Linked DNA regions of Drosophila melanogaster. The protein of the gene in region 3 interacts with the protein of the main gene of each other region in a pairwise test. Each region holds a gene or a part of one and is shown on either strand. Other genes may lie near its edges. The genes, in order: gNacalpha, Pka-C3, bic and CG15136.

Evidence for each region.
Region 1: the proteins of bic (region 3) and gNacalpha interact in a two-hybrid assay, tested with the Drosophila melanogaster proteins (one large-scale study listed by BioGRID).
Region 2: the proteins of bic (region 3) and Pka-C3 interact in a two-hybrid assay, tested with the Drosophila melanogaster proteins (one large-scale study listed by BioGRID).
Region 4: the proteins of bic (region 3) and CG15136 interact in a two-hybrid assay, tested with the Drosophila melanogaster proteins (one large-scale study listed by BioGRID).

What each region holds. Positions count from the first base shown.
Region 1 is NT_033779.5:1,034,834-1,039,281, reverse strand, and holds gNacalpha (germinal nascent polypeptide-associated complex alpha subunit), read right to left. Parts: upstream 2,037-4,448; 5' UTR 1,904-2,036; coding exon 860-1,903; 3' UTR 776-859; exon of another isoform or gene 749-775; intron 704-748; 3' UTR 597-703; downstream 1-596.
Region 2 is NT_037436.4:15,951,428-15,956,790, forward strand, and holds the start of Pka-C3 (protein kinase, cAMP-dependent, catalytic subunit 3), read right to left. Parts: upstream 3,371-5,363; 5' UTR 3,330-3,370; coding exon 3,224-3,329; intron 3,161-3,223; coding exon 3,098-3,160; intron 1,567-3,097; exon of another isoform or gene 675-1,566; intron 1-674. Other genes in the region: GXIVsPLA2, read left to right, coding at 3,793-3,882, 3,961-4,120, 4,184-4,626; elgi (early girl), read left to right, coding at 5,323-5,363. UniProt on the Drosophila melanogaster protein: Does not have an essential role in development.
Region 3 is NT_033778.4:12,868,119-12,872,407, reverse strand, and holds bic (bicaudal), read right to left. Parts: upstream 2,160-4,289; 5' UTR 2,078-2,159; exon of another isoform or gene 2,006-2,077; coding exon 1,496-2,005; 3' UTR 614-1,495; downstream 1-613.
Region 4 is NT_033779.5:17,046,305-17,050,288, forward strand, and holds CG15136 (uncharacterized protein), read right to left. Parts: upstream 1,978-3,984; 5' UTR 1,825-1,977; intron 1,765-1,824; exon of another isoform or gene 1,762-1,764; 5' UTR 1,678-1,761; coding exon 1,467-1,677; intron 1,306-1,466; coding exon 944-1,305; 3' UTR 857-943; downstream 1-856.

The DNA.
Region 1 (4,448 bases), on a different chromosome or scaffold from region 3:
AAGTTCAGTTAGAGCCGGAGCTAGTCATTAAGTGGCTTTTGGGGCCAGAAAAGGGACGTTGAACGTAGTCGAGCCATTTAATTGAGTCAAATGTCCGCGGAGCAGGACTTGCGTAGCCACGTCACCAGCAGCGACGTCACCTGTCTCACCTGGGAGTACCCCTGAAATCCCCTGAAAGAGCTGAAACGCAATCACGGCGTCGTCAAAAATTCGCCAGCAAAAAATGCAAAGTCGAGTGCCGGGGGACTTCGCCAAATGGCTAAAAACTAAGTGCAGAGTAAACAAGAGTGCAGCGTCAGCGGCACAAAGAAAGAAGCGATTAAGTTTCCGCCACAGAGAAAATGTCCAAGAATGACGGTACCTGAAAGGAAAATTGCCAAAGTCTAGCGCTGATGGAAGAGCAAATACGAGTATAATGAAAATGGTTCGGGTTCGCATATGCGTTCTTCGCCCTTCGGAAAATGCTTTCACTGTGCCAAGATGGAAATGGTGGAAATGTCAATTCATTAGAAAATTGAAATAAGATGGCAATTTCGCTGTACAAAGGGGTTCTTCAGTGGGATTCTTCTGCTGGGACCGAAAACATTTTCAAAAACCAGGAAATGATCGGCATTTAATATAGTACGAGCTACATTGGCACCGGAGATTGTCATTCTTGTAGAACAAGCCATCCACCAGGAGAAGTGAAGTCCGAAAGGATTGTCTGGATTACATGAAAGTATAGTAAATAAAAACAACATGAAAGTTTACGATTTGATTGTAATCATTTAATTACCATTAATTTCTATGGCGAACATGGATGTTATTGAAATTCTCTTTATTTCATGACTTTGAATACAAAGGAGCCACTCAGAGCGACTTAACCCACAGTCAGGGCCATGATGGCATTGACCACATCGTTGTCGTTCTTCAGCAGCGCCTGGATCGCCTTTTTGCGCGAGCACGCGGCCTGCATCTGTACCAGTTCGATGTCCTTCGCATGTAGGCCCATGGCATCCGCGTCCTCGCCATCGTTCTCGTCGTCGTCGTCGTCGTGTGGGGACTCCTCGCCAGGGGCTTTTCCATCCTCGTTACCTTGCCGCCCGGCAGGCGAGGTTCCACGGAATCGCTCGGCCGCCTTGACAGCTGCCTGGGAGGCGACGGACGTGGTGCTAGTGTCCTCCACGCAGATCTCCCCAAAGAAGATGTACGTCGACGAGTGCGCCACTCTGTAGACGTCCGGCTGATCGATGTACAAGAGGATGTTCTTGCCCTTCTTCATGGTCACTCGGGCCACGTTCTCCATGGGCTTCAGGTCCAGCTTCATGAGGATCCGGCGTGCCTTCCGCTCGCCGCGAGACTGCTTTGATACCTCACGTGTTCGCACGGCCACCGTACCGAGTTGACCCTGCTCGTCCGGTTGGGTCTCCTTGGGATCCGCTTCCACGAGATCCGGGGCGTCATCGGAGTCCGTGCTCTGATCATCCTCAACTACGCAGGATTTCGCGGCGGAGGCGCCCTCCTCCTTCTGCGAGTTCGGCAGACTGAACACATTGGGCGGCAGCTGTTTGGCCAGGCTCATCAGCTTCTTGATCTTGTTGCGGTAGGCCGGGTCCATTTGACCCATGATGTGGGGCTTCCCCTTTGCGCCACTAAAGCCTGCCGGAGGTTTATTCTTGACATCCAAGGCGTCTTCCGAACTGGAGATCTCCTTCTGAAGTGCCTTTGCGACGTTTGGTTTTTGCGTTGCCTTGGGCTTCCCTTTTTTTCCACTGCCACTTGGTGAGGGAGAGGCTTCTTCGGCAGGCTTTTCTTTGGCCACCACGTTGTCGGCAGCGGTCTTCGATTTCTCGGCAGCGGTCTTCAATTTCTCGGCAGCGGTCGCCATCTGGGCAGCCTTCTTCATTTTCTGCTTCTTACCCATCTTGAGGAATAAACAGCAACTGAGGGATTTGCGATCACAGATTTGCGAGGACAACTTCTCCAAAAAAATTTCCAAATTGGCAGCGCACGTGGTGTGACCTCTTGCGGGAAAGACTTGACAGGAAATATCAGAGGTGAAACTTCCAGTGGCTTGACAGCTGGTGTTGCTCTCTTCGATAAGTGCTGTTGCGAAATTTGGTATACTTATCGAAAAGTTTTTTCATAATGAAAACTGGAAATTTTTTATGCTAATGGCACCTAAATAGCGAAATAAACAATATCAAGTGTTGCTTTCGGAAAGATTATAAGTTTTTAAAATGGCCACTCGGCCATTCGAACATGCAGAGCACGCCTAAGTCTATCGATATCGATAGGTCCCAGTGCAATCGTGAACTGATTATAGGCGTTAGCAGCGCTGCTCTGAAGAAAGTTGGTATTTTTCAAACGAGAATGTCAGCTGCCTTCGAACTGTGCACTTAATTTCGCGGTTATAAAAGTTTTGCTGCAGCGCCTCGCAAATTCTATCGAAATTGATGATTGCAAATCAATCCACTGCAGTGACGTGCTTGAAAATTTTCACCTGACAAAGCCAGTTTAAAAGTGGTGGAGAAATGAAAAGTTCAGCGGTTATTTGGGTAATATTCGAATATGCAAAGTCGTAAAACTCGGATGCCCGGAAAATGCCAAAGACCTGAATCTGAAGCTGGTTCCTCCGTGTTAATTGCTGTCGTGGTCGCACCGCAGTCTGCCTCCAAAGCGGAGCAGCCCCACAAACACGACGCGGTGGAGCAAGCGCGGTTACACGTGCGGTTTTCCTTGCGGTTTTCCGGCTCCCGAATTTCCCAGATCAGGCGGTTCAGGGCGGGGCTGTGTGATCCTGTTTTGCGTTCTGCGTGTGGCGAAAAAACACTTGCTAAGTGCATTAAAAAAGTGCCACGCCCTATTAGGGCGCTCTTCGTGTTACGGAAATTACATCACAATTCGAGACAACCGTACAATAAGAATATGAGCACGTATGGATCAAATCCCCAATGGAGTTAACATAACATTTAGCATAATTTTCATGAATTCTGACCTTTCCTATTTCCTACATAACAGGTATGTGGTAATCGGGAGCATGTATTGCATTTTTTCTGCAAGCCGCTGCGCTCTGTCTGATGATGCGTTTTTAATTGCTCGGTTCTTTTAATTAAAGTTCGAGCGAAAGAAGGGCGTCCACCACCTGCAATTATTAAACTTTATCGTGGGGTCAACGCCTAATTGAGTTGCACAAATTATTCAGGAGAGGCGAATGAAGCAGCAGGAGGAGGACTAGGAGGATGTGGAGGGCAGGAGACCGAGGATGCATCCGGCTGCCGCCGCAGAGTCTGTCCTGTCACCATAATTAAATTCGAGAGGCCAACTAATCAGATATTCCCTTTGCCCAGCCATGAGTCCTCGCATCTTAACATCTCGGTCGATTCGATTCAATGTTGCTCGGTTAAGTTAAGTTCTGCGCGGACTTGGAACTCGGAGACCCGGAGAGCCGGAGAAGGGTGAAAAGTTTTTGGGCGTCCTGGCACGTTCGTCCCATGATTAATTATCCGCCCCATATGCTGCGGTGTCATCTGGGCCCATCCAACTTATTGGGGCTTAGTCTTAGCCTCGAAGTTTAGTTTCTGCTGCCACGGCCTGTGCATGAAAAATGAACCCAATTCGGAGGCCCACCAGGACGAGGTCTTCACTCTCCTTCAAGGCAACGAGGCCCACAGAAGCCGCTTTCTGGGGGCAAAAATCTGTAACGCATTAATCATGCAAGTTTCGAGAAATGATTGAAATCATATTACCATGTCGTAGACATGTTATAACCAAAGATGTTTCCGTAATTGAGATCTTGGCCAAGGCATTCATATTGTGCCTGCTCGAGAGTCTCCTCTTCCCGCTAATGAATTTCATTGCTGATTGATGCTTATTTGGCTTAATTCTATTGTTGTAAGTGAATCAGCAGTCTTTGCTAGGAAAACTATTTATTAAAGGAGTTTGTTTTAGTGAGTTTATAGTGAGTCTGCAAATTAGTTTCGAATAGCACCAAGTTTTTATACATCCTGATGCCGTAGCAAATTTGTGGACATACTGTTTGCACTCCCAATAAAGTAGAAACCCAATTTGTTTTTAGCGTTGACAAGGTCATTTCACTTGGTACCTTGTTCGCTTGATAATTTGACGTTTATTTTGTCGATGGGCCAATCTGGAATGCCACATCTTTGTGCTGCTGTTGATGAGCTGGAATCCCGTTTGGCAGGCGGTATGGCTGTGCCTTCAGAATGAAGTAAACTCTGCCGTCATCCTCTTTCAAAATATGTCAGCCTTGAGCGAGGCTGACGCGCTTATCGCCAAATGACCGAGACGATATCCAGAACCCAGAACCAACAGCATTTCCAGACCCCAACCACCTGCCCATCACGATTTGGAGTCGCTGGAGCGGCAAGGAAAATCAATTTCCCCTGCCGACTGCCAAGGGCTAAGCGAAGTCTGACATTTATTACCATATAAAGAGCAAGAAATAC
Region 2 (5,363 bases), on a different chromosome or scaffold from region 3:
AAGCGCGACATGAAGAAAAGCAATTTAAATGGGGTCACCTGAATGCAAATAGCTGGCAGATTTTGAAAGAAGCGGAAAACTCGAATATTATCTTTCTTGAATTATTAAGCATAAGTAAATCATACATTTTTGGAATTTTTTATATATTTACCATTTGTCAGTGAAGAATCTAATAATTTATCACGCTTTCTGAACTTTGAAATGTTCAAGAAAATTCAAAATATTTTACACGCCTTTTTTAATTTATATATATGTGGGATATATGGGATATATACCATTAAATCAGACATTTTAGCATTTTATTCTTATTTATATTTATCATATTTATTTTAACATTATGACGAGTTAGATCTTCCACCTCTATTTAAATGTTTAAAGACGCATTAATCTACGAATCTAACGAACTTAATGACTGCATTAGCAAGATCTCAAAGTATCTAAAAAACCCACACTTTCCAACTTCCACTTCCACTCCAAATATCAAGATTTAGCCCGCCATGTGAGGTGTAATTTGCTAATTGTACTAATTAAATCGGCTCGCCTAATTATAGTACTCAAAGCTTAATCATCAAACGAATTTATCTCCACATTTTGTTTCTATTTTGGAAAGCAAGCATTTATGATTTGTTGCTGGCTGCTGGCTTCCACTTTTTACACTACCCACGATTACTCACCGAGCTAAATTTTGAGATCCAAATTTGCCGGCCGTCGTCGTTGCCTTTTGGTTTGGTTTTTGTTTTGGTTTTTGGTTTTTTTAGCCTTTTGGTTTTTGTTTTTCTTTTTTTCCTACTTAACGATCCCACAGCCGATCTATATTTATTGTTGTTGTTCAGGTTGCGATTGTCTGGTTGGTTGGTGAGTTCTGATTCTGATTTTTTGCTGGAGCAAAATTTGAACGCTTGCGAAATTGTTAAAAATAAATATGTTACTTTAAGAGCGCACGATTTTCCGCGACTAGCCGTCGATTTCGATTTTTCCTTCGCTTCTGGCCGGCAATAATAACAGAAAAAAAGGCGAAAAAACCGCTGAAGCCGACACAGAAACAGAAATAAACTCAACACTCAGCGTTTCTCGGCGGGAGGGGGTATAGGTATAGGTATTATGGGTGTTATAGGTATACGGGGGCCATAGGTATTATTTTTTGCGGATCGACTGGACACAGCGATCGCGATTTGCTTTATTTGTGTCACTTTTTTCGTGGGTTTTTCTTCGGTTTCTTTTAGTTGTTGTTGTGTGTCTAAAGGTGCCGCTTTGTTTTGTTTATATACGCTGGGATCGTGAGATCCGAGAGATCTAGAATTTCCGGTTTTTACAGCGCAACTTGCAGTTTTTCTTCGGTTTTTTGTTAGTTTCCTCCGCTGAACCAGCAGATTGCCAAATTAGTCCAACTGAGCGCAATTAATCAAACGTGATGATTGCAAACTTTGAATAGGTTTTGTTTTTTTTTTTGTTGACTAGTCTGAAGACCAATGTCAAATTTTCCAATTTTCTTTCGAATGATTTCTGAGTGTTCTGTGGTGTTTTTCTTGGGTTGACCAGCCGCTTCCACGTTTTGCACGAAACTGAAACGTAAAATCTGCGAATCGCTTGCCACAGCTCTCGACGTCGACGTCAGCGTCGCAGTTGGCAGCACAGTCGTGGTGGTTCGGAAAAGGGGGCGGCCTGGTCGGGAGGGGCGGGGCAGTGGGCAATGATGACGATGGTAATAATGATGCTTCTGCTGGCAGCCAAGGGGAGAGGGAGAGATGGCTTCGGGATGCTCGCTTGATAGTCGGATGTGTTTGTGTTTGCTCTCCATGTGTGCAGATATTTGGTTTTGGCCAAGTGTCCCGAGTGCCGTTCCATTTGAGGGCCTAAACGCTTTGGCGGCAACAGGATCATCGCCATCAGGATGGCGGAGGCGGTCCGGAATCACCGATGGCGATAAGGCGGCCAGCATGGTGTGCGCCCTAATTGACAACACCATCACGGAACTGAAAGTCTTTGCAGCGACCAAAATCTACATACATACATATATATATAATAATTAATCTAGAAGATACATACATTGACAAAAAAGTAGATATTTTGTCGCTGCGAAGACAATAATTTACATATTTTAACTGTTCTTATCATATTTTTTTTGTGTAATAACAACTTTCATTACTATCATAAATAAGAAAATGCAAAATTATATTTCTTATGAAATATCTTTTTATCTTTTAACAACGTTTAATAATAGATTTTATAGACGTTTTTATCTTACGATTTTACCTGATTATTAAATAAATATAATCCTAATGTTGGGTAGTTTTTGGATTGGTTTTTCTTTAACTGCTTTAACAGACACATTGCCTGCGAAAAGTCGGAAAATTGTAATAAATGTGGGATTTTCCCAAGTGTAGGAGTACCAGCAGACTTTTCGTCAGCAGTGAATTTTTAAATATTCCAAGAAACACTTATACCTATTTATGTTTGTGTTATTTCAACAAATATTAAGACTTTTGGTTATTATAGTAGAGATGGAAAATAATGCATACAGGATGTAATTCAGATATGAAATACATACATGATGTACATATTGTACATAAGTTAACCCTACGATTCAAGCCAGAAGTCGTTTTAAATCAAAAGGTTTATGTGTGTTTTTATGGTGGGGGTGTTTTTCCTCAGTGTCTTGTTTGTTTTCAGTAGACTTTGCGGCAGCGCCGATTCGTTGCTGAGAAAATCTAGAAAATATGTTTTGTGTATTTACGAGCCCTCTGTTTCGGTTTTAAGCAAACAGCGAGCGCGCCTCTTTAACGGTTTTCGGGTGTTGCGTTCGCATGTTTATGCACGTTGATTTCGCTGGCCGTTGTAATAAAGGCCAACAAGGTCAGGTGCAAACGAAATGCGAGTACGAGTGACGCCTGCGTGCCACAGTCTCATTTCAGGTGCCGCATACAATTGCCGTGTGCATTTCAATTTGATGTTATAATTAAGCGAAGGCAGGCACGAGATGTCAGCAAGCTTTGCGTTTACGTTTTCTGTGCGCGACTTTTTTTTCCCTATTTCACTATTTCGTTTTGAGGCTGCTTCAGTCCTGTTTGTCAAGTGCAAGGACACTGCATGCACTCACCTCTTTGAGTGGGCGTGGCAAGTCCTGCCCGCAGACCGGAAGCCGAGTCATGGTCGCCGCAGACTGTAAGGCATAAAAATGTTAGTATCCTTGCCGCACTAAGTATAATTGTGGGAAACAACTCACTTAGCTTCCAGCTGGAATACAAACCGCAGCCGAAATTTGCGAAGACACTTGCGCTGACTCTGCAAGCCACTAAAATACGTTCCAAAAATATATGCCACAAATCCATTTAAGGAAAATTTTGTTTATTCCCAATTTTTTGAATTTTCCCCCCTCGAAATATCGATGTATATGTATTGTCAGTTAAATGTTTTGAGTTGTCTGTACCAGATGGCGCCAGTGTTCTGAAATTCAATTTACTTTTATTAATGTATAGCATTAATTGTAATACTCTCTGCAAAGCCAACAAGATTTTATTTTTCATAAATTTTTTTGTTTTATAAATCATAACGTATTTTATTTATAATATTTAAAAACGGTTTTAAATTTCCCATTAGGATTTTTTGAAATGTCAGGACAGTGCCTAAAAGTATGCAACCTCATATGCAGTTTGGTATGATTTCCGAGCCGGTTGGTATATTTGAACGATGACGCCTGGTCACACTGCTACAAATGTCTTTCGCATAGTTTAGTTTATTATTACGCGCAAACAACAAATAGCTGACCCTTCAAAAACGAATTAAACAGCGAACATGCAGTTCTCTTGGATGAAGGTGGCCATATACCTTCTTACGTTCCTAACCTACGCCTATTCAGGCTATGGATCCAGCACCATAGTCCACGTAAGGTGCACCGCTTCTCGTAGGAAATCTGTGAGAGCTAGTATCTGTTACTCCTGTATCTTCTCTCCCCGGATTTAGCTAAGGGATGCCATTATAGCCGCGGAGGCGATCTTTGGTGACGTGTTCAAGAACCTGATAGTGCTGGTGCGCAAATTTCGCACGGTCCACGAGGTTTTCGATGCGGCCGTGGACGAGAACTGCATATACCAGTGCCCCGCACCGGATATCGGAGGACCAGGTGTGGTGACGCACTGCGCATTATGTAAATTCCCCAGCATCCATATGTGTGTTTATCTTACAGCGCCCAGAGCGGTTCAGAATAAGTTCTATACCCCCACCGCAGATGGATGTGGTTCCTTGGGCCTGAGGATCAGCACAGACTATCTGCCGGCCAAGGAGATGGAGACATGTTGCAATGACCACGATATCTGCTACGACACCTGCAATAGCGATAAGGAGCTGTGCGACCTGGACTTCAAGAGGTGCTTGTACAAGTACTGCGACAGCTACGAGAAGTCCATAGCCAGCGATCTGATGATGAAGGGCTGCAAGGCGGCTGCCAAGATGCTATTCACCGGCACATTGACCCTGGGATGCCGCTCCTATCTGGACTCCCAGCAGAGATCCTGCTATTGCGCCCCGCCGAAGAGCTCCTCCTACAATGGCAATAGGCAGGGTAATAGCAATAGTAGGGAGAAGCAGCAGCGCCAGAAATATGGCTGGAAGGATCGCAACGAGATATAGTACAGGATCACTGGCTACGAGGGTGCGGGGACCTGGGGGTATCGGATTAAGCGTTAAATGTTTTATGTGTTGTGTTAGTCTATGAATTGGGTAGCCATGTCCATTGGACTCCCTTTTTGACGAATTTCATTATTGTATACCAAATAGTGGCATGCCAACGGTCCAGACTGTTAAATACATTGATATTTTTACCTATTATAAAGATGCTATATTTTTAAATCAACTGTGCGCTGATTAATCACCGGTGGCTTATGCTGACGTGGTCCTTTGGGCAGGATATGTATATTATTTATTAATCATATGATCGACAAGTGTGTAAACATATTTTAACCAGGACGATGACGTATTTAATTTGTTAAGCTGCCTGGCCAAAGCTAATTTAATAGTACAAATAAATGAATGGAGATCAAACAAGAATTCTATTATATCAAAAATTTTGACTTTAAGTCAAACTTAAGTTTAAAACTAAGGTGGAACAGAAAATATCTCAATATTTTCAAGCTAAACAGTTATTTTAAGAAGCCATTTCTCGCGGATTACAGCTGAAGTGCCATCCTAGCTTTCCAACACTACTCAGTCACACTACACAACACTGCACTGACTGAACCGAAAAAAAAACACACAGATTTTGCAATCCGCAGAAAAGAATTATTAATAGTATTTTTATGCGGATGGCCAGCGTGCTGAGGACCTAAGATGGGCTACGATGTGAATCGCTTTCAGGGGGAGGTGGACGA
Region 3 (4,289 bases):
CCTAATAAACATCAATTAAATATATTTGCCACAATTAAATATGAGTTTTTAACTCTATTTGACCTCGTCACTGATAAAAATACTAGCATTTGCATTAACCTTAATCCGTTATAGGTCGTCGAAATGTGATAAGAAGCCGCAATCGCTTGTTTATGTACAAATGAGTGGAAACTTCAAGAAACATTCCGGTTGAACTGGCCTAATCGCAATTTTAAGCCAATTTAAACGTGACTCATTTCGAAGATTTCCGACCAAAAACCATATACATATTTATATATATACATATGTGCATGTACCGCATGCTACGACTCCCAACTTTGGATTTGGACACATAATTTGGAAGTTGCGTACGGGTCATAGTTCCTGCCGAAGGAGCCTTCTGACCATCTGGATTTTAGACGTACCATACCAAATGTCAACAAGTTTTCGACTGCCGCGTGCTTTGCGCCACACCTCCCACTACCCCTTTCCCATCACCTCGAAAACCTCACACAAGAGCGTTGCTATGCATACACACACAGGCCCACACTCACACACATGTCGATTATGCAAGCAAAGAAAAAAATAGGCATTAAACTAAAAAAAAAATGCTGGAAATATGAATGGGTCGTATGGTTTTTACAGCTCATTTAATGTTATGCATGGTAATGATGGTCTAAAACAATAGTTTACAAATTATAAGCTATGCTTTCAACAATTTGGGCACATTGTTCTCGAATCGAAATTGTGGCCTCAGCTTGTTTTCGTTTTCAATTGAGGATTCCTTGAGGGCGGGGTTACATCGAAAAGTCGGAAATTGGGGAAAATCGGTAAGAGCTAGTAGTGCTAAAAATATATTTCTCTGTCCTCGCGACCTGGCAATGAATTCATCTGGAGTGTCTGCGTTGTTCCCCTAATCACCTCGTCACAATTCTTCCGAAAACCGTATCGTATATATATAGTATATAGTGTTTTATGACAGCGCATATATCTATAGATACATCTGTGTGTGTTGTTCTTGGGAGGGCGGCAAAAATTAGAATGTGTGTGTTGTTTAGACTGTGGTTTTTTTTGGTTAAGGAAACGTTCTTTAATCGCTTTGGAAAATACATTTGACTGTTCCAAACTAGTACAATTAGATTAAGATTGAAGGGTTCCCTTAGTATGTTAAGTATAGTTATTATGCTTATGTGTTCTGTTCAGCGCTCACTCGGATGCCTTTATTTTTGTATTTTAGTATAGTGTGTAGCATGACCCCCAAAAAAGTGGCTGGAGGGAGCACGAAGAATGGCCCATTCAGGGCAGAAGCGCTGGTTGCAGTCCGGAGTGGATCCGTTTCCGATTTGGAACCGGAATGGGTAAGTGGTAGATGTGTTTCCGGCGTGTCTGGTGTGTGGGTTCTGCCCTGTATGCCAGCCACTTCGTCTTGCTCCCTGGCCCCGTATGTTTTGTATGTATGTTTTTGTGTTCGGTGTGTGGTGGTGTGATTTGCCCGGGTGGGCGGGGTTGGACCAGCCTAAGCGGAGGCCGCCACCTCACCGGACTTCTCCTCCTTTGTGTCGGCGATGGCCACCTCCTCGAAGTTCTCGACCAGATCGGGCACATCATCGTCACCGGCATCGGCGGCTGAAGAGCCGGCTGCTCCGCCGGCGCCGCTCTTGCTGGCAATCTCCGTGGCCAGCTTCTTCAGCTGGTTGATGTCCTGGGGACCCAGTTGCGTCAGAATGCCGGGCACCATCTCGGTGATCGTCTTGTTCTCGCCATGACCCGTGATGGCAAACGTGTTCGTCGGCAGCGAGGCCTGGGCCTTCGGATTGTTGAAGTGGATGACGGTGCCATCGTTCTTGATGATGTTCACCTCCTCGATGCCGGGAATTGTGTTTACCGACAGCTTCTTGAGCGACGACTGCAGCTTCTTGTCGTCGGTGGCGGGCGTGGAGTGGACGATCTTCTTCTTGCGGCGAGGGGTGCCCTTGCCGCCAATGCGCACCTGCGCCTGCAACTTCTTCAGCTTTTCCGCGTTCATCTGTTCAATTGAGTACACACAATGGTCGCATCAGTAAAACGCCAATCGAATGCCGCACTTTCCACTACTCACTTTGATTTTACTAGAATTTAGCACAGAGCCTTGCCAGAAAACACGTGCGCCCAGTCGTAGTCAAATGTCAAAAAGAAATCGCCATGATAAAAATGGCAAAAGGTGTATGTATATGTGAGTAGTACTGGTAGGAAGTACTAAACGTGAGTGTTGACTATCGATAGCTCACAAGGTGGCAACCAAAGCGCGCCAAAGAAATTTAAAAATTCTATTGTTTATATAATTTATACATTATTTTTGAAGTAATACGTTTTCTGAATTTTGAATGAATTTTTAGTTTTGAATATATTCAAATTTTTAGTAGTATATGGTGGGAAAGTAAATCTACTCAGGGCATAAATCTCAATTTAATCGATTTACTTTATTTTCATCGCTTTCAACCACATATATAAGTAAATATGTTTAAAAATTTGCTATATAAAATTAAAAATAAACGTGGTAAGAAAAAAAACCAATTTACTAAACATTTGGAATGTTAATAAACATAATTATGAGCCATCATAAACCCAGCAATAAAGTTTTAAACACAATTAAACCAGATGTAATGTTTGAATTAATTAATTCTTATATTTTCTATTCCAATAGTATCGATTGCTTTGTTGAGTTCGATAGCTATCGTTGGCTTGCATCGACTACTCACTAAACTCAGCAGTCAGTGCTGCATAACGTCATCATTATGATAAATTGTAATGTTTTAAAAAATATCTATACAAAATATACAAGCTTAGTATAACAAACTCAATTTAGTAAATATTTGGAACGCAAATAAATAAAATTATGAGCCATTATATACCTTGCAATAAAGTTTTAAACACAATTAAATCAGATGTTATGTTTGAATTATCGATTGCTGTGTTGAGTGCGCTAGCTATCGCCGCTTTACATCGACTGCTCACTAAACATAGCCAGCGCAGTCAGTGCTGCATAACGTGCACCCATTATCATCATGATAAATTGTATTACTTTCAGATTAACGCTGATAAGATATAGTTAATTCCAATCGGGCTTCAATAACGACCTTCCGGTAGAGTAGTTCACTGATATTTAAGTGAATTATACGGGTGCTGCCAAAAAGCGGATAAATCCGATAAATAGGCAGTGCATTCCCTGCAACAAGTGGAATTTTCGACTTTAAATACAGATATTAACAAAGGGAAATAACCGCTAAATCCTTGTCAAACGTAAGTATTTCACGACGTCTTATCGACTATGAAACGAGCTTTTAAACACATTAACTTCTTCCGCAGTGGACGACTTTGAGTTGGACGATATAGACGATTTCGCCATGGATTTCTGGGGCATTTTCATGTTCTTTCTGCTCACCTTCCTCATCATGAGTTGCTGCGGATATTGCTGCACCAGCAGACGCCAAGGTGCCGTTCTGTCCAGTGAGTAACTGTATAAAATATATGTAGAAGTATTAGCCTATAAGCCATTAATCAAATAAAAACTCCCCGATGAGTCATTCAGAAAGACAAAGCAGCCGGAGTTTAGCTCAAAAGATGAGTTTTATGAGTGAGCGAGTGTGTGTAAGAGTATATAAAATCCTATTCGTGTTAAGAAGTGATAATAACAATTATATTTAGTCGATATACATATTTATAGAGAGAGAGAGACAGATCTGAATAATGGGAGAGAGCTTTTGGCTTGTTTGGTTTTTTTCTTTTGCCTCTCCACCGATTCGTAAACAACATTAAGTATGCTCAGCAATAAGCGGAACTTACTTTATCAGCAAGGGCCAAAGTAATTGTCTATTTATGTATGTTTATTTATATGGCCGTATCTTATCTGAAACAAGTGAATAGTCTGTTGTCCCTTTCTGGCCAGGATTTTACCAGTTTTTATCCATAATATAATAATTGCTATAATGTTAGCAATTTTAGTATAACAACAATATAATTTAAATTGTTTAAAATGACTCATCCTCAGTAGCGCTTCGATAAGGAATTGATTCATTTTTATAGATAAGAACGACTGACAATTGTATCCACATGCCACAGCTAAATACATGCATGCAGTATACCTCGAACTTTTAGACCAAACGGCTCGTTGGAAAAAAGTATCTTTTAACCATGGTTAACATATACTTTGATATATGGTTTCCCATTATAATGGTTGTTTTATATAGTGGTTTTGATACTGGTACTATTGCGAGTTCGTCGCGTCCGTCGACTTCGCGTGGGAAACGCAACTGTGGTTACCGCCGGTGAGG
Region 4 (3,984 bases), on a different chromosome or scaffold from region 3:
ATCCGTGGCTCGGGACATCAGACATCGGGGTACGGACAGCTCTAAATGAGACATTGCAAGGACACGAAAGTTTTCTCATTACTAGACACACACTCCAGCACCCAAACGCCTTATGAGTTTTCCTTCCTTATCCAAAAATTGAGTAAAACTAAAATAATCAAGAAACGAAAAAAATGAAAAGTTGTCGCCACTTTGCTAACAGACAATGCAAAAGTGTGCAGTCTAAGAAAATGTTCGAACTTTATTTGGACGAGTAAAAAAACGCTAGTTTAAATGAAAATTTAATTTGCATAGCCACTCGTATTTGAAAGTGAAGGTGTTTTTTAAATTCCACATGTTATTTTATTGAGTTTAAAAATTAGTTATTTAAGCCCGTACTATTTTCAGTGGTAGTTAAATCTGAAGGCAGTCCTGCTGCCATGCTACCCATAGACAGGTGAATCAAGCTTTCAGCTGCCATCCAGCGAGGAGAATTCTGCGTGCGGCAAAAGTTTTCATGCATATTCAACATCATTAGAAAGTCAGGACAAAGTAGCTGAAGGCAGAAAGGCAAGAGCCTTCGTGGAAAGTAAAACAAACCCGTTTAGGGCGCTAAAATGTAGGCTATAAATTATGTCATAGGTATAGTCGACCTTTCTCCACGGAGCTTCCTTTCTTCCAGTCTGCCGTAAGTGGGCTTGAAAGGAGTGCATTTAGAAAGTTCTGAAAAGCGTCTTAATTGCAACGACGTTGGAAAATACCTGTAGAATTTAATTCTTCGCGCTGGAAGCGTATTAAATTCAGAAAAAATGTAATTACTTACTAAAAGGGAAATCCCTTATAAGCACCTATGGTATAGGAAAAAAATACACAAATTGAGAGAGTAAGGAAGCAATTTACTGAGTTGCATGTAGGTGTGAAAACAAATGGAAAATAAATATATAAATTTGCCATTCCGTGGGACCTACATGACCAGACAGCACTTTTTGGCCGGTCTGGCGGAGTGGCGATTCTGAAAGCCATTCCTTTTTTCCTCATCTAAAGGTTCCTCCACATCACCCACAGTTTCGCGAACTTCCATTGCCTGGCTAACTGATGTGCTTCCTAGCTTGGGATCATAGGACTCGGCTCCGATATTCATGGCCTGGACTTCGTCAAACTCCAGTTCGCCAACCTCCTCCTCGCCAGGATCCAGGCTGTAAACGAAACCCGGATGGCGCAGACCCTGCTGCTGCTGGATGCTGGCCTCACGCCAGATGGACTCGTAACGGGGCTCGTAGCATATGTCCTCCGAGGTTGCCGTACTCCACCGGGTGTACGTAGATACTGCATGGGTATTAAATTTATAAATCCATCAGGAAATTAAAAAGAAATAAATAAATGCACAATACTAAAAACCTATGCAAGTCAAAGCATAATATATATAAAGGGCTTCAAAATACAATATATATTGTTTTAAATAAACATTATTTCCTTTCCGTACTTACACTCATCAAATAGCTTTTTGGCCACCTGGCTGGCCTTGAAGTCGGGCACAAACACAGGTGCGTTGGGGTTTAGGCGTCGGTCCAGCGGTCGGCTAACGACGGGGGGCGTGTCGCCCGCGGCGGGCGGAGGGCAGCTGCCAGGAGTCGAATGGGCGTCACCCACTTCCCCTGCAAGTTCGCTGGTCGATGCGGTGGCGGTGTCCTTCAACATGGTCAGCAGAGCACTTAACACTTGAATAGTTTTTCAAATCTACATTTGAGTTCCGGCCGGACGATTTCAAGTAGCTTTTCTATTCTGCTTAAATGCTCAGTTGACAATTATGGCAGGGCAAACTACCTGATTATTTGATTTTCTTACCGGTATTCAGTGCCAAATATTAATGAATGACCAAAGACAGCCGCTTCCAAAATATTTTGCCAAAACTTTGGTATTGGCCGATTTTTGCTATGAGGGTGTTTATCTCTCAACGTTTGTCTTCACGAAGTAATTTGTGTTCCTACTATTTTTAATGCTTGGCCTTTGAAATTTAATTGGATAAGTAATGAAAAGTCAACTACGATTAAAGCTACACTATTATTTACATACACAATTTATGATTGCAGAACGTACAACTCAATTAAATAGAAAACTATTTCAAAAAAAGTAAGTTAACCATGCTCCTTTGTCCCGATTCCTTGTAATTTCTTTGAAATGTCAAAGGTTATTTACCTCCATTCAATTTCTGTTAGATTGTTATTTTGAGGATTTATGGGTTTATCCATCTTATTGGGGCTTAACCCGAAAACTGCTTCAAATCCATGCATGCCATAATTCGATTTCATAAATTTGATTCCACTTTCAACTGTCATGTTTGCTCCGCTTTTCTCGTTGCAAATAAAGTTTGACTTTTAATTAAATGGCCGAACTTACAATAATTTTAATAAGCCGTATAAATAAATTATAACAAATTTCACACAAAGTGAGATAAAATTGCCTAAAACTCATCCTGACATTCCATCTTGCTGGTGCGTGTGTGTCAAATTTAATTTTGTGAATACCGCAAATTGACAAATATTTTCGTTTGGCCAACAAGAAGAAGACCAAAAGCACCCAGCACTCTAATTCAATCTGGCTGGTGTATTTTAATTGATTTGCGCTAAAATTTATTGATTTCATTTTGTCAACAGTTGTTGCCAGATGAACCGCAAAGAACGCCTGAAAACCTCAGACCCATTCACCCATTCAGCCATTTGCCCAACTTGAGCTCATTATGGCAGCTTCAGCCCCCTTGGAACCCAATATTTGCATTCATTTTGTGTGTGTGCTAATTTGCATGTGCGAGTGTGTTAAAACATAAATTAGTTGACTCTGCCGACACACCCACACAATCGAATAAAATAAAGAGAAAGGGGTTAGAGAAAGTTTCAACCGAGAACCGAGAATTTATTGCCAATTCATTGCATTCGCGCTGCTGTATCGAGCGATTTCGCTAACCGAACAAATAGCGGTTTTAACTGTTTTTAGTTAATTGCGCAAATTACTTGCGCTAATTTATTGGCCATTTTGTGGAATAGACAAGGTTTTTCAGCTTATAGGTTTAGTCCGACTAATTTGTTAGTTTCTGAAGGGATGTTTTTTTTTTTTTTGACTTCTTATTCTATACATTTTGTGTAAAAAAATACCATGTAGTTCTTCCTGTTTCAATAACACTATTAAGCCATTTGACAATTATCTTCGACAGTCATAAATCCGTTAAATTAAATAAAAGGCCAAAGTTTATTTAGCTACTCAATCAGGGACACAAACAACACTCAAATTGTTGGACAGTTTCAGATTCAAATGGCAAGCGGTGGTCGAAGGGCAAAGTAAATAGATGAAACGAAGTCTTCGCACTTTTGTAAAGTTGCTGCTCAGTGTTGGCGTATTTCCCTTGAAGGAGTAACGTATCATATCTTTTATTCAGCTTTGAATGAAGAAGTCATGTCAGAATATGCCTCAGATATAAACCGTTAATATAAAAACGAATAATATTAAATTGTATTATATTACATTATATTATTTGTGAAGGGAAAGTAGCCAAGATGACAGCTCTGGTCGCTCAGCAGTCAGTCAGTCACCCACTTGGTCAGTCACATGGGCTGCACATTCAAGTGTCACTGATTTGAGGATAAGCACTTCACAGGCAACTTGATAGCCCCCCAATCCGGACCCCCTCCATATATATATGTATATACATATATCTTTGTGTATGTATGTATGCTGTAGTGGCATTGGAGCGGTTGTGCCGTGTTCCGACGGGTTGCTTGGTTGCCTGGCCAGTCAGCCGTGGTCGGGAAATATCACAGCAGTACTCTCTCTCATTCGAGGGCCACTCGTGCAAAGCGAACTAATTTGAATGTATAAAATCAGCAGCACTGCCGGGAAGCCCCACAGGGACAGACATACATATCCGCAATAATATATATAAAGGGACAGCAGATAGACAAACTGACTGACTAACTGACTGGTCGAATGACTGGCCATGGAGAGTGATGAAAA